Linked DNA regions of Zea mays. Each later gene encodes a partner of the first gene's protein in a complex. Links are inferred from orthologs where the notes say so. Each region holds a gene or a part of one and is shown in the gene's direction. Other genes may lie near its edges. The genes, in order: Pheophytinase, chloroplastic; Probable chlorophyll(ide) b reductase NYC1, chloroplastic; 7-hydroxymethyl chlorophyll a reductase, chloroplastic; pheophorbide a oxygenase, chloroplastic; uncharacterized protein LOC100272914.

Evidence for each region.
Region 2: Pheophytinase, chloroplastic (region 1) and Probable chlorophyll(ide) b reductase NYC1, chloroplastic share a complex: the UniProt entries of both Arabidopsis thaliana proteins name them as parts of the SGR1-CCE-LHCII complex. The link is inferred for Zea mays from reciprocal best matches to the Arabidopsis thaliana genes PPH and NYC1.
Region 3: Pheophytinase, chloroplastic (region 1) and 7-hydroxymethyl chlorophyll a reductase, chloroplastic share a complex: the UniProt entries of both Arabidopsis thaliana proteins name them as parts of the SGR1-CCE-LHCII complex. The link is inferred for Zea mays from reciprocal best matches to the Arabidopsis thaliana genes PPH and HCAR.
Region 4: Pheophytinase, chloroplastic (region 1) and pheophorbide a oxygenase, chloroplastic share a complex: the UniProt entries of both Arabidopsis thaliana proteins name them as parts of the SGR1-CCE-LHCII complex. The link is inferred for Zea mays from reciprocal best matches to the Arabidopsis thaliana genes PPH and ACD1.
Region 5: Pheophytinase, chloroplastic (region 1) and uncharacterized protein LOC100272914 share a complex: the UniProt entries of both Arabidopsis thaliana proteins name them as parts of the SGR1-CCE-LHCII complex. The link is inferred for Zea mays from reciprocal best matches to the Arabidopsis thaliana genes PPH and ACD2.

Annotation. Positions count from the first base shown.
Region 1 is NC_050100.1:79,043,202-79,047,375, forward strand, and holds the start of Pheophytinase, chloroplastic, read left to right. Parts: upstream 1-1,364; 5' UTR 1,365-1,523; intron 1,524-1,717; 5' UTR 1,718-1,747; coding exon 1,748-2,404; intron 2,405-3,420; coding exon 3,421-3,647; intron 3,648-3,981; coding exon 3,982-4,173; intron 4,174-4,174. UniProt on the Arabidopsis thaliana protein: Alpha/beta hydrolase dephytylating specifically the Mg-free chlorophyll pigment (pheophytin), yielding pheophorbide. No activity on chlorophyll. Belongs to the chlorophyll catabolic enzymes (CCEs).
Region 2 is NC_050098.1:2,269,986-2,274,148, reverse strand, and holds the start of Probable chlorophyll(ide) b reductase NYC1, chloroplastic, read left to right. Parts: upstream 1-1,362; 5' UTR 1,363-1,527; coding exon 1,528-1,866; intron 1,867-2,202; coding exon 2,203-2,281; intron 2,282-2,382; coding exon 2,383-2,518; intron 2,519-2,857; coding exon 2,858-2,932; intron 2,933-3,039; coding exon 3,040-3,235; intron 3,236-3,491; coding exon 3,492-3,560; intron 3,561-3,696; coding exon 3,697-3,836; intron 3,837-3,983; coding exon 3,984-4,106; intron 4,107-4,163. UniProt on the Arabidopsis thaliana protein: Involved in chlorophyll b degradation. Belongs to the chlorophyll catabolic enzymes (CCEs).
Region 3 is NC_050096.1:206,310,986-206,315,142, forward strand, and holds the start of 7-hydroxymethyl chlorophyll a reductase, chloroplastic, read left to right. Parts: upstream 1-1,356; 5' UTR 1,357-1,460; coding exon 1,461-1,672; intron 1,673-1,779; coding exon 1,780-1,864; intron 1,865-2,343; coding exon 2,344-2,452; intron 2,453-2,705; coding exon 2,706-2,790; intron 2,791-2,888; coding exon 2,889-2,930; intron 2,931-3,144; coding exon 3,145-3,223; intron 3,224-3,638; coding exon 3,639-3,690; intron 3,691-3,785; coding exon 3,786-3,848; intron 3,849-3,941; coding exon 3,942-4,039; intron 4,040-4,157. UniProt on the Arabidopsis thaliana protein: Probable iron-sulfur flavoprotein that converts 7-hydroxymethyl chlorophyll a to chlorophyll a using ferredoxin as a reducing equivalent. Catalyzes the reduction of a hydroxymethyl group to a methyl group. Belongs to the chlorophyll catabolic enzymes (CCEs).
Region 4 is NC_050096.1:10,195,921-10,199,979, forward strand, and holds the start of pheophorbide a oxygenase, chloroplastic, read left to right. Parts: upstream 1-1,254; 5' UTR 1,255-1,518; coding exon 1,519-1,887; intron 1,888-1,976; coding exon 1,977-2,212; intron 2,213-2,300; coding exon 2,301-2,427; intron 2,428-3,602; coding exon 3,603-3,739; intron 3,740-3,851; coding exon 3,852-4,011; intron 4,012-4,059. UniProt on the Arabidopsis thaliana protein: Catalyzes the key reaction of chlorophyll catabolism, porphyrin macrocycle cleavage of pheophorbide a (pheide a) to a primary fluorescent catabolite (pFCC). Works in a two-step reaction with red chlorophyll catabolite reductase (RCCR).
Region 5 is NC_050096.1:144,516,652-144,520,582, reverse strand, and holds uncharacterized protein LOC100272914, read left to right. Parts: upstream 1-1,276; 5' UTR 1,277-1,288; coding exon 1,289-1,669; intron 1,670-2,416; coding exon 2,417-3,034; 3' UTR 3,035-3,192; coding exon of another isoform or gene 3,193-3,196; 3' UTR 3,197-3,425; downstream 3,426-3,931. UniProt on the Arabidopsis thaliana protein: Catalyzes the key reaction of chlorophyll catabolism, porphyrin macrocycle cleavage of pheophorbide a (pheide a) to a primary fluorescent catabolite (pFCC).

The DNA of each region.
Region 1 (4,174 bases):
GATGTATGCACATGAGTCGTCGGATGTTTATCCCTTCTTCATATCCCACACTTAGAAGTGGCACGCAGAATAAGAATTTATGTGGTCAAAAAAGCCATATGATTAAAATTACGGCATTTAAGAACCTTGATGTCGTATAAAGGGGTGAATAAACGATTAGCAATGTTTAACTCTATTGAACTCAACTTACTTAATATGACTAGCGAATAGACAATTAACATTTTTTACCACGTGACAAAATCAATCAAGACCATAAAAAACTCATGCTGCATAGAATTAAAGCTTCATATCAATACACAATACATGTTCAAAGAAAAAAACTTATAAATAAAAGAAGCAAACATATACTGATCGAATCGAAGTTGTGTGTATCTTTAGAATGTCTATCTTCTCGAAGGCCATGGGTGCGGGGGAAGGGCTAGGTCAGGCGGCATCTCTGGCTAAGAGCTAGTGCTAGTTAGCTCGCGAAACTCATCGGTCGCTAGAGTCGCATCGTTGCGACGAGCGAGATTGAGCTTGTCGGACGGGCCGATATTGCGATGACGACAAGCAAGACGAGGGCAGGAAGGAGTCGGGGCTAGGCAGTGTCGCGTCTCAGTAAGGGGGGAAGAGAGCGATGTCTGGGACAGGGTATCGAAGCGGACTAGCTAGGACGACGTTGAGAAAAATGAACCTAGACAGATATATGCAAGAAATGGGGCAATGAGAAGGCCGGAAGTAGGAGGATTGGACCCATCGGACCAAGAGACCTAGAACGATGTTTTAGTTCACCAAAAATTTCAAAATTTTCTATACTTAACATTAGATATAAGAGGTTTTAATGATCGAATGAGATCATGACCTACTTTACCCCTATGGGTCCGCCCTGCTTAAAAATTACGTATGTTGTAAACATAGAAATATTTTAGAAAATAGTTTAAGAAAATAGGTAGAATTGTACTATGGTAAATCTGATAGATAGAATTTAATGTTAATATGTTAGCACTTAATTCTTTTACATTATATATATACTACCGATATTTGATATGGAATTTATGACTTAAACTAACGTTAAATTGCCAAAATTTCAAGAACACCACCTACTAATTTAGTGCCACCAACGACCCTTTGCATTTTCCGGCACAGATTTTTTTGATATGAAAACGTAGTCGAAACAAAAAAAAAACATTGTGAAAACGAAAAAAAATCCACGGTCTTATTCGTCGTAGTGAGTGTGAGTCTCGACTCTCGAGTTACTTCTACGCATCTCCAAGCCGCAAACGGACAAAACCAAAGCAATCCGTGCACACCGAACTCCTCTCCTCCACTCGCCTCTTCCACGCCACGCGGATGGCGTGCGCGCACGCAAGGTCCAAAGAAGCAGGCCATCCGGGACGGCGCGAGCGCGTCCTGCGTTCCATTCCACCCTCCTCCGTCTCCGATCCTCGCCTTCAACTCCACTCCCTCGCTCTCTCGGGCCTTCTTCCCTAGCGGCGACGACGGGGTGATCACTGATTCACTGCCGCCCGCGCCAGGTCGGCCAGGTATGCGCGCTCGTTCCCTTGATCCCTTCCCTTCCTTCTTCTAGCTTCGATTTTTGGCCAAAAAAATATCTGGTATATATGTCTTACCGCGCCTGCTTTATAGCTGTATGATACAAATTGCCATATGACGAACGGTCGGATTATTGGTTCCACTTCGGTCTGGCGAAGTCATTTACTTCCCTTTTTGTCTGCAGAACTAGTGGGCGCCAAACATCATAGCGATCATGGAGGTGGTCTCTTGCAGCCACTCCTGCTCGGCATTACATCAAACACCAGCAAGCACATGGAGGCTTCGGGGCAGTGCTCTTGGCCTTGGTCTTGGGCATGCCAGGCCTTCCCGGACCAGAAGATACACAGTTGCGTGTGTAGGAACCACGAGTGGAGCTTCGAATCCGGGTGGTTCCGGCAAGGTCCATGCAGCCCAGGGATTCCATGTAAGCGACGTGGATGCAGCCCTGCAGGGCATTCCTTCCATGAAAGCCGGGGAGGCCGAGAGGGTGATGATTCAAGGCCTTCCGGAAGGCCCTGACAGCTCCCCGATCAGTACTGGGTTCTGGGAGTGGAAGCCGAAGCTGACTGTGTACTACGAGAGGTCCGGCATGAAGAACAGCAAGGCACCTGCGGTGCTCTTCCTGCCGGGGTTCGGAGTCGGGACGTTCCATTTCGAGAAGCAGCTGAGGGATCTTGGTCGCGATCATCGGGTGTGGACGATGGATTTTCTCGGGCAGGGGATGTCGCTGCCTGGTGAAGATCCTGCTCCTAGTAGCATAGCGAGCGAAGATGCGTTTTGGGGCTTTGGACAAGATTCGCAGCCTTGGGCAGAGGAGCTGGTGTATTCTGTGGATTTATGGCAAAACCAAGTTCAGCATTTCATTGAGGAGGTACTCCTTGAATTAGTTACTGTGTCTTGCAATGTTTGTTTTGACTAAATTGGCATCGGTGTTTAGTTTGCAAATCTTGCCTTTTGGAAACTCCTCATAGGCTTGTTACTATTTTTTTCTTTATTCATAAATATCTGAAACTGGAACATTGTTTTTTCCTCGAACGTGCAGAAAAGCTGCGCATCGTTATATTAAGAGAAGAAAAATTACAAAATGGACTAAATTACAAAGCCCAAAGGGTAGAAAAACTGGATCCAAAGACCACCAGCCAAACACTAATGTTCCATCCTCTTCCTATGCTGAAATAATAAAGAAGATGCAGAAGCAAAAGAGCAGGCAAACCTAATTTGCCTAAACGCTAAGCACTGTGATTTTCCCTGACCATATTAAAGGCAGGCAGCAGCAAGGCCAAGACTCTCTAGATGCTTAGCACCAGCCCTACCCCAACACATCAACTCATCCAAAGACATACTTTGGACTGTGCTCATGGAAGGACTCACTCCATCAAATACAGCCCTGTTACGATGAAGCCATAAGCACCAAGCCCTCAAAATGATGACGCTGTTAAAACCTTTTCTCATGTTCTTGTGCGCCTTTCTATGCGCTTTTCCCCACCACACAACATAAGAGATATCATCACTAGTAGGAGTGAGATCATCAAGCCTCAAGGGCGATAGAACACCATGCCAAACTGGAACATTGTTTGAATGCCTTCATTTTTGTGTTGACAACTGCTCGAAACCGACACTGATGAGTGATGACCAACATAAACTATGCATATTTTACTGCTAGAAATGTAGTAATCGTCATATTTATGTTTGTTCTGTACTTCTGTTTAAAATTGCACACATAAGGTTTAAATCTGTTTATTGTAACCATCGTATATGGATGGCTTAGCTATCTATGCCTTTATACTACAGAAGCTAATAAAGGTTCACTGATACATATGATCATATAATTTCACCATGAGATTTATACAACATATTTCGTAAGCTAAGATTATAGTTCATTTCCAGGTTATCCGTGAACCAGTTTATATTGTGGGGAACTCTCTTGGAGGTTTTGTTGCTCTGTATTTTGCTGCATCCAGTCCACACCTTGTAAAAGGTGTCACACTGCTTAATGCAACACCGTTTTGGGGATTCTTTCCCAACCCTGCTACATCTCCCCGATTGTCAAAGATTTTCCCATGGGCTGGGACATTTCCGCTTCCATCATTTGTGAGGAAAATTACTGAAGCAGTGTAAGTGTTGTTTATTATTTTTGGAGAACATATTCGATCACTAAAATCATACATTTCACACTGACATGAACCAACAGTTTCTGATGTTTTAACTTCGCTATATTGAAATTTGTGATATTTACTTATTTCAAGAAACGTTATATTTGTAGTTTTACATGTGAAAGCATTATTACCATAATGATTTAGTTTGCTTATGCTCTTGCATTATTGAAATTTTAGAAATAAACTAACATGCAAAATTAAATGTCTAATGCATGTGTCATTGAAAAGTTATGAATTATCCACACATTGTATTTTATAATCTAATTGGAGTGTAATTTCCTCTGTGATATAGTTGGCAAAAGATAAGTGACCCAAAAAGTATTCAGGACATACTCAAACAAGTATACGCTGACCATTCAACAAATGTGGACAAAGTATTCTCTCGTATTGTGGAGATAACACAACACCCAGCAGCTGCTGCATCGTTTGCCTCCATTATGTTTGCTCCAAGGGGTCAGATATCCTTCCAAGAGGCCATCTCTAGG
Region 2 (4,163 bases), on another chromosome or scaffold:
GTCGGGTCCACTCACTCACCGATCGAGGCAGAGCAGCAGTACGTGGTAGATGGAGCACAGTAGAGCGTGTTGAGAACTACGTTACCACGGATCACCAAATCCGTCCTCTTCCCTCCCGTCAGCAGTAGATGCGCAAGAAGATGTAGAGAACCCGTCTCCTTCCCATAAGCACGACAGAGGAAACACACGAGACACTGAATATAGTTCTGATCTCTATTATGAGGTGGTGTACAAGTTGCTTATATAGAGATGTGAGACTCCTCAGGAGCAAAGCACGTATTTGCCTACATAACCCTAGAGCGAACCGGACCAGCGTTGCAGCTGTCACTCTACTTTTGCTCTGGGTCCGACCCACTGACTCAAAGCCCGACGAGCTAGGACGATCGTCGATGGTTCAGTGCACGTACGTTTGCCGTGGCACTCCCGCGCGCGCACGCCGCAGCCAACTCAACCGATGGATGGACGGTCAAACCAAGCAGGCGAACGGAGTCGGCAGCACAGCCACAGCGCTGAGTCACCTCCTCGCGTGCGTTTGCGTGCCGGACTAACGGGAGTTGCGTTGCGTGCACGTGTTTATTTGCTCTAATAACCGCGCACGCTTGGCGTCGCCGTACGTGTAACAGGAATTTTTTGCCACTAATGTGCATCTGCAAGTTTTGTCCTGTCGTAAACACCAGATGATGCTGCCGAACACGTACGAGTTGCGTTTAGGGAAAAAAATTTGTTGCAGCCCGGCTGCAAACCAGGCTGTTTGCAGCCCCTCACAAAAAGGTGGATAGGCCCCACCTGCAGGTCCACCAGATAACGTTTTAGTTGTATTATTTACCTGCGGGTGGGACCTATCCTCCTTTTTGTGAGGGGCTGCAAACAGCCTGGTTTGCAGCCGGGCTGCAACAAATTTTTTTCCTGCGTTTAGGGTTTTGGACGACGACGAAACATTGGCATCCGGGGGGGCTCGGAGGTCCCGTGCAGATCTCGTTCGCAGACAAATAAAAATATAACATGGGCCAAAATGCTCAAACGACACGTACGTACGCGTTTACAAGTATCTGTCTAGGATTCTGAGATATTTCTTCGACGATTCTGAGATACTTGATTTTTTTGCTGACATCTGTGTGCTAGCCCTGGTCCGAGCTCTATCTCCGTGTCCGTGGAATGGACTGGACAGGGACTCGGTGCAGCCGCATCCGCCCAGCGCTGGGGACCCTGAAGCCAAAGCGAACGGCCACGTGGCGCCTATCCGCGCGAATGGGACGGATGGATGAGGTTGCAGCAGCGTGTGGCCGCCGGCCAGTTCATCTGAGCCCAAAGAACTTCACAAACCAGTCCAGGGTCCTTTCTGCAATAACCTGAAGAAGCTACGATTATTATATTTATTCACTGGTAAAGCCCAGTGGAGAGCACACGCCTCTTCTCCCCCCCCAAAAAATCCAGCAGCAGCAGCAAGCCCCACGCAACATTAGCAGCAGGAGACCACCCCAATCCCCCACGGACATTCGCCGCGAACCCTTATCTGCACGCCGCGCCATGGCCGCCGCCGCCGCCGCCGCGGTCGCCCACCTCTCCATCCACGGCCGCCTCCGCCGCTCACCGGAGCATCGGCCGTCCATCACCACCACCACCACCTCCTCCTCTTCCTCGTCCGCTCACCGCCCGTCCCTGCTGCGGTGCCGCGCGTTCAAGCAGGAGGCCGGCGACGGCGACCCGGCTGAGGCCGACGCGCGGAAGCGCAGGAAGGGCCCGCTGTACAAGCTCAAGGCGGCGATCCAGGGCCTCGCGGGATCCCGCTCCGCCGCCGCCGAGGTGTACGGGGGAGAGTACCAGTACCAGCGCGCCGTCGAGAAGGCGGAGGAGATATTCTTCTCGGTGAGCACCGCACCGGCCTCCGCTCGCGAATCCTTGCGGCGTGCCCCCCACCCTCACCAGTCACCACGCTTATCTGTTTGCTCACACACACACCTGAATGAATTGCCTAACTATGCTGGAGTACTACTATCAGGAACGCAAATAAATGTCCAGTGCTCGCTAATTACAGCCTTAGTACCTTAAACCGTGGCATCATGAACAAACAAGGGTTTGTTCATTGTTGCATGTGATCCAGGCTTGCAGTCCACCATACCAAGTCGTATATTTCTCTTATTCCATTTCTCCTGTGCATAAGGGTTTCTTATATGTTTGCTGATCTCAGTCACCTTCTCGCAGGTTACTACTCAGCTAGGCAGATATGTTATCACTATGATGAGCAGCGGTGTTGTACTTGGGGTTGGATTCCAGCTGTCAGGTTTGCCATACGTTTATGCCTCTCGTTTCATTTCACTCTTGGCCTTTTCCTGAAATTCCAATTTAATTAGACGGACTATTTTTTTTAAACCCCTCACCCAGGTGGAGACAGCCAAATGAACGAACTAATTTGGTATAGCTGGCTTGGTGGGGTGATTATCGGCACAATGATAGGTGCAAACAGTGTCCTAGAGGAACACTGCAAAGCTGGACCTCGCAATGTCGTCATAACTGGAAGGTACCTTGTTTCCATCCTTCGTTCAAGATGCCTTCTGCAAAATTTTCCAGGACTCTGTATGCACCATTTTTCAATTTTCATTTATTAGCTGACTTGCCCTGTAAGAAAAGTATTGCACAGCATATTATTGATAGCATATGAAATCACTCTAGAAAACAGAAACTGTCGAGGTTAATGGATTTAGCTACTTAAGAAGGAAATAAAGTTTGGCTGTGTTTTTCAAGTTTTTGCAGTTTCACTGCTCACGGCCATTGGATAGGTTATTTCATACTGTTGTTTCTTATTTCGGCAATTAGCATTGACATCAGTTTTTTTTTTTTTGTTATAAAAAAATTCCAGCACAAGAGGGTTAGGAAAAGCGCTTGCTCGTGAGTTTCTTCTTTCTGGAGACCGTGTTGTAATTACTTCACGAAGGTGATATTCATGAGAACTTTAGTCTAGTTCTACAAGGTTTCATACTTTTTCCTTATGGAGCTTTATGCTTTATTTTAGTTTTAAATATTTTCTTTTTGTGATGGCAGTCCTGAATCAGTCCTTCAGACTATAAAAGAACTTGAAGAGAACATACAGGAAGGGTTATCTGTTGCCAAAAAGAAGCAGAGGAATATTCTATCGCATGCCAAGGTTGTTGGTACAGATTGTGATGTCTGTAAACCTGAAGATGTGAAGGAGTTAGTGAATTTTGCTATTAATGAGCTTGGTTCAGTTGATATTTGGGTAGGTAATTCATTACAGTTTTGTAGCTTAAATCTATATCTTATTTGGTCTACCTTTTGTTTTGCTAAAGAAATATTTAAGTAAAGTTGGATTATACAGAGTTTATAACATTTACATCAGTTGTGAAATGTACTTTATATATATGATGACATTAAGATAGATTTTGTGGTGCCCACTTTTATGCTTTTCTGTATGGTTCTATGGCTACATCAAAGAAGAATATTATTTACCACTTCTTCTCCAACCTTGTGTGCAGATAAATAACGCTGGCACAAATAAAGGTTTTAGGCCATTGGTAACCTTTTCAGATGATGACATCACTCAGGTTCGTTATTGTTATATTATGTTGTGTTTTTATCATTTTTTATGTATGTATCATTGATCAGAGGACCTGGCTTAATCATGCTACCTTATTTCCATCTTTTTATTAATTTATTCTGATCTATTTCATGTTGTTACAGATCGTCTCAACAAACCTAGTTGGTTCTCTACTGTGCACCAGAGAAGCCATGAATGTCATGCAATACCAAGAGAAGGGAGGCCATATATTCAACATGGATGGAGCAGGTTCTGGAGGATCAAGCACACCACTAACAGCTGTGTAAGCATCTTAGCTTTCGAATACTCTGTTGCTTCTTTATAGCTTCTACTGTATAGATGTGTGTTTTTTGTTGCTAAAACTTGAGTGTCCTGTATTGGAGTTCTTTATGTTATGAAGCGAGATCTGATGCTGAACTCAAATTTGTAGCTATGGTTCAACTAAATGTGGACTAAAGCAGTTCCAAGGATCACTTCTGAACGAAAGCAGAAGATCAAAAGTTGGAGTGCATACTGCTTCACCTGGTATGGTCCTCACAGACCTTCTGTTAAGGTAAGCTCTCCATACTTATCAGTTGTCATTATATGATTTGTAAAGGTCGCTGTGAAC
Region 3 (4,157 bases), on another chromosome or scaffold:
AGGCCGCCGCTGCCAAGGTCTACTTCACTATGAGGATCAAGTGGTCGCGCAACGGGACGCCTATGAACAAATGTGTTTGCTGCACACCGAGATGGACAAATGGTTGCTTTCAGTTGCAGGAATAAATTCTGCAGTCATTAGCTACCTGGGAGATCTGTGTGCATTGTACATCATGTGTTTTGTGCTTCGCTGTGAGAATGTGTAACACATGGAAGGATTCAGAATCTGTGCCCATTGCATATGATATATGTCTCGTGTCAGATTTTAACTACAAAACATCTGAAGCAGAGCTCGAGTTAGCTCAAACAATCTATCAGATTTTAAACTGAAGAGTGAAATAACATGCGAGAGATGAGTTCACTGGCAAGCTATTGCTCCATATATACGTGGTGGACTGGAATCGCGTGATGTGTGCTGATAGATTCTGCTAAGGCAAAAAAGAATGCTTAGTTTTTCTGGTTTCAACGTAGATCATCTTTACCACTTTATGAACAAATTAGATAAAATTACTACTTTATGCAAAAATTAGGTACAATTACACATAAATAGTGGTCATCTTTACCACTTTATGAAAAAATTAGATAAAATTACTACTTTATGCAAAAATTAGGTACAATTACACATAAATAGTAGTTTGGGCCTTTATTGGATTTACATCCACACCCATCTAACCAACAGAAGATATATATTTTGTGTTTTGTAAAACAAAGTCTATCAATAGGTAGTGGTTTGAATATTTGTTTGTTGTACATCCACCTTCATCTAACCAACAGAACCCACATGTTTTCGTGATTTGTTAAAATAAAGTCTAATTGTTTGATATATAGAAACCGTAACAACGCACGTGCAATTAGCTATAATAAGATTACATATTTATCTCGCCAATATAATAGTTTTACAGTGATATTTTGCCACATAGATTTTGCATATCATAATGTTGTTTATCGTTTCGTATCTATGTTTTATACTATTTTTTTTACTTTCGTAGCAACGCATGGGCATGAACCTAGTCATATATATGATCGCGTAAAAAATTATTTTATATTGTATACTACTGTTTATAAGAGTTAAGTTTAAAATAGCGGTTGAGATATGAGATATGATGAGTAAGGTGTTGAAGACAATCTAAGAGTACGGATCGTCGTCCCACCAAAAGGAGGGACTACGAAGTAAAAAAATACATATATGGGCGGCATAATTTCTGTTAACTTTTTATCCGGGGTATAGTGTTGAATTTTGAATATTTTTAAATATGAAAACCAAAAAGATGCACTATGCATCGATGGGTGGACATTTTGCAGGCTCCGAATTTTCCTCAAAGGGTGGACATGAGCCGAAATTCATGAGGTGGCCCAGTAACAGTAGTTTCTCTTAAAGGCTCAAGGCATGACTCCTCCATCTCCACTCGATCCTCCGTCTTATCACCGGTGAGGTACTGAGGTGAGACGATCTCCGCCACCATGGCCTCCAGCACCTCCCTCTCCCTTTGCTTGCACGCCTCGTCGCCCTCGTCCTCGTCTCCTGGACTCCGCCGACCCTCCCTCGCCTCCTCCTCGTCCTCCAGGTCCGAGAGAACGCGCAAGATCAGGGCCAAGGCGGTCAGGGAGGACTGGAGGCAGAAATCCAAGCCCATCCCTCCTGGCGCCGTCTACCCTGCCAAGGACCACTGCAGGTATATGCCTGCTGTGCTGCGCATTTCTTTGTTTGTTTGTGTGTTTATGTGATGCGAATATGCGATGCTTACCTCTGTTCCTATTTCTACTCGTATGGCGATTCAAGCCGTTGTGGGCTCTGCGACACATACTACGTTGCGCATGTCAAGACTGCCTGTGCCTTCCTGGGAGACGGCATGTCCCGTGTCGAGGTCACCTCCCTTCATCTTCGCATCACATCACCTGCCTAGAACGGCTCAAACAGTTTGCTGAATGAAAACAAAAATGATCGTCTGATGTTTGATCAAGCCATGGGCTGCAGTGCTGCACGCAGTTACTCCCTCCGTCGAAAGTTATAGTTCAACTTTTCTAACTCTGACCAAGTTCATAGAGACCATCTACAATATCAAAATGATTTCATCAATTTCTTCGTGAAAAATGTCTTGATAGTTTATTTGAACATATACAGAGGGAGTATATTTTTTTATAAAATACTTAGGTCAAGTCAAAGTTAAAAGAAGTTTTGATTTAGAATAAAGCTAAAGTGAACTATAATTTAGACCGAGGGAGTAGTAATGCTCGACATGAATTCTACACTTTGTTTCAGTGAAATAAAGCGGGGAACTCTCCTGTTTCCTAAAAAAAGTTGACACAAATTTACAGATGCCAACACTCTCCTCACTATATTTAGGATCTTGAGCGACAAGTCCACGGGAGAGGCCGGAAGGAAGGCATGGATGAAATGTACTTTGGAGTCTATGACCAACTCTTGTATGCCAGGAAGACCGAACCTGTTGAAGGTACTAATTACCTTTTACAAGTTGTTCTTATCCTTCAACAACCGCCTGCATCCATCTAAGGAAGCACACATATGCAATATACCAGTCTTGTTCACTGCCCTTCCATAACAAACCGAAACCACATACACCTCGAATGTTGCATCTTATTTCCTACACTATCTTGATATACTCAACAAACCTTTGTTAGACAAAACTGTACCCTGACGACTTATGTTTTGTACCCTGTAACATATATGTGCCTCACATGCAACAGGAGCCCAGTGGACGGGAATAGTGACAACAATCGCTGTCGAGATGCTGAAAGCAAACATGGTTGATGCTGTGGTTTGTGTACAAAGGCACCCAAACAAGAATCAAATGCCACATCATTCTTTCTCAGTGCTATGCACAAGCATTACCACATGGATTCAAATAATGTTTTTTACCCCCTCTGCAGTGATCCTGACGACAGGCTTGCTCCAAGACCTGTTTTGGCCAGGTATTGTGAAACTGATGGCTTTCAGAATTGTCCTTTATGGCTTGTGTATAACACTCCTTGACTGGATATACTTTTGCAATTCCAGACTTTCTGTAACTATTTTGAGCTTAAACTTTTGTTATCAGTCCATCCATGAATTACTCATGCTAATCATTATGTCCCTTGATTTCTAGAATGGAAGTGACATTTAATCTCAGTAGCCATGCTCTTGTAGGACACCAGACGAAGTAATTGCAGCCAAAGGTGTGAAGCCAACATTATCACCAAATCTCAATACACTTGCCTTAGTCGAGGTAAGTCGCTCCTTTTAACTCTATACTTCCCATGCCCCCTTATTCTTGATGCAAGCTATGGTGCCATGCCTCCTTTCCCTTTCTTATAACATATAGAAGTAATAATGGGTCATATCAGCAGATCTCTGAGAGTCAGAGAGAATCAGCTGTCCTAATATTAATTTAGGGTTAATTGATCCAGATATTCGTTCCCATTTCCCAATTCAAGAGAATTAGAAGTAGTTCAATTATATTTGAATTTGTTGCTTGGCAAGACCGCAAATGTAATTCTATTAGCCTATTAAATCTGGAGTAGCCCCACATTCTAGTGGGTTCCAAAGCCTATTCCAATCATCCCTCCAACCATAACAATACATATGATATCCTATAGTGACCAGTTTATAAATCCAGAGAGTTTCACAGTTTCCTTTGGCAGGCAGCTGGTGTAAAGCGGCTTCTTTTCTGCGGTGTGGGCTGTCAAGTGCAAGGTCTTTTCCTTTACCTGGCCTTTCTTCTCTTTCTATTGCTGATGTTTTATCAAATGTAAAAGTAAAAGTTGCTAAAGTTATTGTTTGAACTACAGCTTTGAGATCTGTAGAAAAGTACCTTGGTTTGGAAAAGCTTTATGTGCTTGGAACAAACTGTGGTAATTTCCATTTCTCCTCTCAAACCAGTCAATATTTACATTTTCTGTCGTGGAAGATAATATTGTAGCTCTAACATACTGTATTTTTCTTAGTTGACAATGGTACGCGTGAAGGGCTTGATAAATTCTTGAAAGCGGCAAGCAGTGAGCCAGAAACTGTTATGCATTATGAATTTATGCAAGACTATAAGGTATGACATTGAAATAATTAGCTGCATACATTCTTTTTCCCACATTGGTAGGTTCATGTATGGATAATCAATAGGATAGGAATACAGTTTTCCATATCAACAGCTCAAGGAGCAGTTT
Region 4 (4,059 bases), on another chromosome or scaffold:
ATAGTTAGTATTATTAGAACATGTTTAAATAATTATCACATTTAAACCAGATCTACATATAAACTATTTTGCTTGTCAACTGCATCGCAAACTCACTTGCCTACCATCGGGATCGCGCTCGTATACAAGTGACACACTTTAAATGATTTAAGCCGCGAAAATTATAAATGTACCATCCTCATTTGACAAGTCTAAAGATAGCTTTACCATACAAATGAAACTAAATTTAAAATTCCAAGTAATAATTAGAAAAACTGATTTGACAGTTTTTTCAGTATATATTTAGCAGCTCGCTAAATCTGAATTTAGAAAGTTTTTTTGAAATGAGTTGAGATGCTCTTATAATGGTTACTATAGGTTGAGGGACGGAAGTAGTAGTAGAACTGGTAAACAAATTCGAATTTGATCTATTCAACTTTGTAGCTACTCAGCAAGATGCGAATTGCAAACATCCGGCGGGGTGGATTCCGCCACGGCCCACGGGTGGGTTCGTGTCGTTCTCACCGCCGGTCAGGTCTCCCCTCCGCGCGGCGCATTCGTCCCGGTGGGGACGGCTAGCTGGCCCAATGCAAGCTCCACCGCACAAATGCCGCAAAGCGCCATGCGTGGTCGCGTACAATTGTCCTCCTTCCCCGCCCTTCCTCCCTTCCCTGCCGTGACGCAACCACACTGCGCTCACCATGTGTACAATGTATTCTCCCTAGCCGAACCGTATCAGTAGTTCTTAGGGGTGGGCGTTCGGGTTACCCGAAATTTTCGGGTTGGGTAATTCAAGTTTTTTAAATTTCGGGTTTTGAGAATCAATACCCGAAATTACAACGGATTTTTCAATACCCGGAATTTCGGGTACCCGGAATTTCGGGTTCGGGTTCGGGTATTCCCAAACTACCCGAACTATTGTGTTGGCTTCATAAAAACACATACACCCTATTAAATTAGTATAAAAATATAGTTTGAATAATGATATACATGGACATATAAAACACAAACAATCTACAATCCCAAGTTATGCACACTTACACATAATTATAGATGTACAAATTAATTATTAAGCATGACATGAGTACATGACACATGAAAGTTCGGGTAATTCGGGTATTTCGGGTACCCGATTGTGATACCCGAATTACCCGAAATAATTTCGGGTTTTGCAAGTTGCTACCCGAAATTCCCAAACAAAATTCGGGTTTCGGGTATTTCGGGTTCGGGTTCGGGTATTCCAGGTTTGGGTTTCGGGTTACGGGTTTTTTGCCCAGCCCTACTAGTTCTTCCCTCGCGTTCACTCCCCAGCGTGGGAAAATCCCGGAATTTTCTTGTTTGTCCACTGGTTTTCTTGCGCCAAAACCAGGTTTCTCCCCGTTGCCGTGGCAGAACTCTGTTCTTGCCCAGTCTAGAAGATCTGCACCGTTCCAACCACCGACTCCGGCCGCCAAGCATATAGCCAGCGCGGCGAAGAATTCCCAACGCGAAAGCCAAAACCTCTTCACTTCACTTCACGTCGACACGTGCGGGGAGAATATGCGCGCGACAATCCCAGCCCTGTCGCTCCTGGTGACGCCGCGGCTCCCCTCGCTCGCCGTGCCGCTGGCTGGAGGCCGCCTCCGCGTGGGCGGTCGTTCTCGGACCCGCCTCCGCGTGGCGGCGCCGACGTCCGTCCCAGGGGAAGCGGCGGAGCAGGCGGAGCCGAGCACGTCGGCGCCCGAGTCCGGCGAGAAGTTCTCGTGGAGGGATCACTGGTACCCGGTCTCCCTCGTCGAGGACCTCGACCCCAGCCGCCCCACCCCGTTCCAGCTCCTCAACCGCGACCTCGTCATCTGGAAGGAACCCAAGTCCGGCGAGTGGGTCGCGCTCGACGACCGCTGCCCCCACCGCCTTGCCCCGCTCTCGGTACGGCGACCCGCATCCCTTCCTCGCCTCATCCGTGTCCTACCGGATCTCTTCCTCGTTTCGGCTAATTTTGGTCTGGGCATGTGCAGGAGGGCAGGATCGATGAGACGGGGTGCTTGCAGTGCTCGTATCACGGATGGTCATTCGATGGCTCCGGCGCCTGCACCAAGATCCCCCAGGCCATGCCCGAGGGTCCTGAGGCCCGTGCGGTGCGGTCACCGAAGGCGTGCGCGATCAAGTTCCCCACCCTCGTCTCCCAGGGGCTGCTCTTCGTGTGGCCCGATGAGAATGGGTGGGAGAAAGCGGCCGCCACCAAGCCTCCAATGTGCGTAGAGTCAGACTTTGGACTGCGGCTAATTGGTTGGATTCAGTTTTGCATTTCGGTGTCTGAATTCGATCTTGTTTGGTTTCAGGTTGCCGAAAGAATTTGAGGACCCGGCCTTCTCCACGGTGACAATCCAGAGGGACTTGTTCTATGGTTATGATACGTTGATGGAGAACGTCTCTGATCCGTCCCATATAGAATTTGCTCACCACAAGGTACTTGGTACAGTGAGAAAGCTTAGTTGCTTGCCACACTTAAGCACCATGATAGTATTTTTCAGTTGAAAGTTGGTGATTCGAGGAAAGATGTTTTGTTGCAACCAATTTGTGTAGTTTGCTAAAAAATCACCACCTCAATACTGTTTAATTGTGTAGGCCTCTTATCGTTTCTGATTGCCAGTGTGCAAGTTTAACTAACTGTTAGATCTTAACTGTGGATGTACCCATATATTTTTTTTGCATCATAGTTTTATTCTTTTTTACTTATGCTGCATTGAAATTCCTCAGAAATGACTTATAATGGGCAAAAGGGCTGAATGGTCTGAGTCTGGCCTCTTATCGTTTCTGATTGCCAGCGTGCAAGTTTAACTAAGGTCCCGTTTGGTTTGAGGGATTAAATATCAGTGCCTCCATTTTAGTCCCATTTAGTCCATAAATTGACAAACGGTGGGACTAAAACAAGGACTAAACTGTTCTAGTCTCTAGTCCCTCAAGGGATGACTCTAAGGGGCTAAACCATAAAAATCCACTTTTTGGCCCTCCTTCATTTCAGTTGCACTAATGGCGGGAGGATGTTAAGGAGTATTTTGGTCTTCTTATGATTCATTTAATGTGTTTTGAATACTTATAGTTTTTAGAACCAAACAGGGTAGGGACTAAATTTTAGTCTTCTAACTAAACTTTCGTCCCTGGACTAAAGGAACCAAACCCTAACTGTTAGATCTTAACTGTGGATGCACCCATATATATTTTTGCATCATAGTTTTATTCTTTTTTACTTACGCTACTTGCTTAGTCTGAACAGGCATTAATAGGGTGTTTGGTTTGAGGGATTAGTTAGTTCACCCACTCATTCCTCTTTTCTTTGTTTGGTTTGTTGAATGGAGTAGGTTGGTCAGTGCATTATCACATCATTCCTCAGACTAGTAGTTAGTACTAGTATGAAGAATGGGGTCATTCAACCAAATTTAAGGAATTGACTCATGATGCATCACCACATTTAGAATGGAGTGGCTCCTCAAACCAAACCCTATAAATGACTGGCTGAGTTAATTGTGCTATCTGTGTGTCATGAACTTGTGCCGGCAGCATAGACAAACAAAATGCTTTATTTTCTCGGGATACATGGTTTCAGCAAATCCACTCATGTTTCAGATTTTAACTCTTCACAGGTTACTGGACGAAGAGATAGAGCCAGGCCTTTGACATTCAGGATGGAATCAAGTGGTGCCTGGGGTTACTCAGGAGCAAATTCTGGTAATCCTCGCATTACTGCAACTTTTGAGGCCCCTTGTTATGCATTAAACAAGTAAGTTTCAGAAAAGTACCTGGTCATCTTTGAGTGTGGAGTGATTCTTATTTACCACTTAAGCAATTCAGTCGTTATACGGTTCTGAACTTCTGTTAACTGGCTTGTACAGAATAGAGATAGACACAAAGTTACCCATTTTTGGCGACCAGAAATGGGTCATATGGATTTGCTCTTTCAACATTCCAATGGCCCCAGGGAAGACTCGTTCTATTGTCTGTAGCGCTCGAAACTTTTTCCAGTTCACAATGCCAGGAAAAGCATGGTGGCAGGTACATGTGTGTTTAGTGTTTCCTTTACTTAAGCTTTGTTTTCCTATT
Region 5 (3,931 bases), on another chromosome or scaffold:
AAATTGTTGGTTGTTTTATATTCATTTATTTGAGTGGATTTTCTGTAGGGAAAGTCATTAGCAAAATCTTTCACTACTTCGTCATATTAGTTTAACTGATTATTTAATCTAAGTTGAGCAGGTTCAAACTTGTTCAGTTGTAAACAAAATCAACTGAACCGGTTTGCACCAGTGCAACTTTAATTTGACATATCTCGAAGTTTTTAGTGAAAAATTTCAGGTGTAGCCTATTCACCCCCTCTCTAGGCTACTTTCAGTGACCTGTCATGGACCGTCATCGCTGTTCACGTTGCAGAGCCGAACCCAAAGTATTGCTCGTCACGAGAAGTGACTAGGCTTCATTGGTGTTTGGTTTTAAATAGATGGTGGTCATCATAGAGGTGGTGTACTATAAATCAGCGATAGAGATAAAGTTCAAGACCGCATCCGAGATAGTGTTATTTATTTTACATCTTATCTACAATCTCGCTTCGGTCATTAGTAATTGGCGCCCAAATTAGGTCCAAGACACTCCTTCACACATTTTGCCTTTTTAAACGCAATAAAAAATATGGACCTTCCGATTTTCCGAACTATCCTCCAAGTTATTAGAGTTAATAGATAATCGTGGCTGGGCAAAATACTCGTGGCTCGTGAGCTCGCTCGACTCGTGGCCAGCTCGGCTCGACTCGACTCGGCTCGTTTCAATTTTATCACGAGCTGAGCTAACATCTCAGCTCGGTTCGTTAACGAGCCAGCTCGACACGAGCTCGAGCCAGCTCGTTAGCTCGAATGAGCTAGCATTTATCTGTAAAACAAAGCCTATACTTGTATTAGATGAATTAATAAGTGATGAACTATGTTAGTTTACGGTTTAGATGATGTGATATATAAAATTATGAGTATTGTTAGTCTTTTCTAGTGTTAAATTAGTATGAAATTAACTAGCAATTAATTATATTGTTGTATATATACATGTATAATATTTTTTGTTCTGGCTCGCGAGATAAACGAGCCAGCTCGAGCTCGCAAACGAGCCGAGCCGAGCTGATTCTCTGGCTCGGTTGCTTAACGAGCCGAGCCGAGCCAGCTCGTTTCCTTAACGAGCCAGCTCGAGCTCGGTCGAGCCGAGCCGAGTGGCTCGATATCCACCCCGATAATCACGTAAATTCTTTTTTGTGCGTGCATTGGCGATAGCGCTGCCTCCTCTTTGTAGCTGCTACCTGCTAGTTCTCACGTCACTGTAGTCTGTAACGTCGTCTTCTTACTCCCCCTATCCGACGCCGGGACAGGAATCAGCTTCCCCTCCATGCTCCGGCTGGAGCAATATCTCCGGTTGCTGCCGGCGACCAGCCACGCTACAGCGCCCGCGTTGATCTCGGGTTACTCTTTCCTCTCCAGTCCTCTCCCTCGCCTCAGTGCCCTCCGGCTAGCCCGCTCGCGGCCTCCCCCGCTCAGGGGCAAAACGTCGAGCCCCGTGCGCGCCTCGGCGGAGCCGGATTCTACGGTAAAGCGCGCGCCCGAGATGGCCCAGAGGGAGGTGGCGCGGGTGGTCGCGGATCAGGCGGTGGCGCGTTTGGGCGCGCGGCTGCTGCCGTCCGCCGTGCCTGCCGACGTCGTCGAGTTTCGCAACGCCGCCGGGAACGCCGTCGGCTCGCTCGACGTGCAACGGGGCTCTCCTGGCTCGTCGGTACAGTTCAATAGTGATCCTATTTTTTTTTTTCTTGTGGTAGTACCGTACCATGTTAGTATAATACAGCTTTCGTGTGGTTGCATACCAAAAGATAAGGGCATACTACTATACTGCTCTGTGCGTAATACGGTTATGGGATCTCCAGTATGACTCGGAATCGGCACATCATGCATTCCACCATTTTTCCTTGGTATATAGTACTCAAATACACACATCACCCCATATATGGCATCTGTATTGAATACCAAAAAATGGCTTGTGTTTCAGTTCAGTATGGTTTGGTGCACTTGCTGACCGCCTACTTCTCGCCAATTGGATAATTGTTGTCCACTGATCCATTCAAGGTGAATTGTCAAAGTTTTAGATGGAAATATTGCTAATGCAACTCTATCAAAGCATCTTGTCAATTGTAGGTTACTAACAGTTCTCCATTTGAGTCCCTTAGATTATTGTTGTGACTTGTGAGACTGCCGAGTTCCAGATAAAGAAACTGGCAATGATCCGTCCCGTGATTTCCAAAACTTAAACTGTAATCGCAGTCCAATCTGAATATCACTGTCATATATGTTGTTGTCCTTGAGCTGATAGTTCAATCTTAATATGTGATTTCAGTCATTGAAAACAGCAATGTCGTCGAGGATGGAAGAAAGCTTGCATTAACATGCTTCCTGTTTGCTACTGCTGTAAGATGTAGTAAAAAGAAACGATGACAGGACCTGATGTGCGTTTCCTCCTTGTCTACAGATTGATTTCATGCTGCAGTCCTCGCTTCACTGTGAAGTCCCGAACGGTGCCATTGACATCACCTCAATTCTCATTTTCCTGAACGCCTCGACGGACGCACCACATTTCCTACTGGAGCTCATACAAGGCAGCTCAACTTCAATGGTGGTGATTCTGGACCTGCTTCCACGGAAAGACCTCGCGTTTCACCCGGACTACCTGCAGAAGTACTACGAGGAAACTGGAATGGATGAGCAGCGCAGAAAGATCGAGGAGCTACCGCAGGCTCGTCCATACAGATCTCCGTCACTCTTCGTGCGCAGCGCATGCTCGCCTACAGCAATAATGGTGAGCATTGACTGTGGACAAGGGGGTGAGAAAGCCTTGGAAGAGATAATACATGGACAGTTAGCAAAGGTCATTCAGGAGGCTCTTCAGACTTGGCTTGACAACTGTGTTGATTCCACCATAGAGATGGATGAGGCGGAGAGGGACTGCCTGCTCAAGAGGGACCGGATTGTAAGGTCGAAATCGATAGAGGTTGACCTGACTGCAAACCTTCCCAGGATGTTTGGTCCGGATGTGTCTAGTCGGGTCATAACTGAAATCCGCAAGGCCTTTGGTGTACAAGAGCCGTAAGTCGTTCATAAATACAAGCATGTAGTTACTTTATTGTAGAGAAAAATTGTTGTGAGTCCATGAAACCCCCTTATTTGAACAATCGAAAGTATATGTGCTAAAGTTGTGTATATATTACTACCAAGTGCTAACTGAGATGATGAAAGTGAGCTATGCAGGTGAAGATGATCAGTTGTTAGGACCAGGTTTCCAGGAACAGTCTCTCATCACAGAGTTCCTAAGCCGTTCCTGTCTTCCTGATGCTAACATACCCAATAAGCATAAGAATTAGCTCTGCCTAAAAAGGAGGTACTGAATGGCGGTGTGTTTTGCTGCATCTTGTTTTATGTATATAAAACTTTGGTGTATATGGTGTACATATTAAAAAAATATCCATCCATGTTAGATCTACTATCCTTTGCCGCTGTATGTATTTTGCAAAGAACACTCTCCATCACCATTTTTCGCAATGTTCGGATATGGCATCATAATAGTATTATGTGTACCTGATATGTTCAAATGACAACTACAACCAGGTTGTTCCGTGTTCAAGCGAAACTGTGGCGAGCTAGCATAGCAGCAGCCACTCCTGAGCTCGGATGCACATGATGATGGTAACAAGTAATGTTCGATAATATCGGTCCTATGAAATTTGTTTTGATCCCGGAGGGGGGGGGGGGGGGGGGGGTCAAACAAGTAGCTACTGTCTTGTGCGTATCTGGACGTTGCATAGTTCGTGACGGCCGTTCGGGTTTATGCATTTGCTGGACTTTACATCAGTAACTTTTGGACTTTGGCGATAGGATGAAAATCTGTTTCAGAATGAAATTCACGTATGTATACAATTGTGCACGATAATACGTCAAGGAAATCCCTGGATTAAAACAAAGTGACACGTTGCGGTGTGCCTCATTGCAT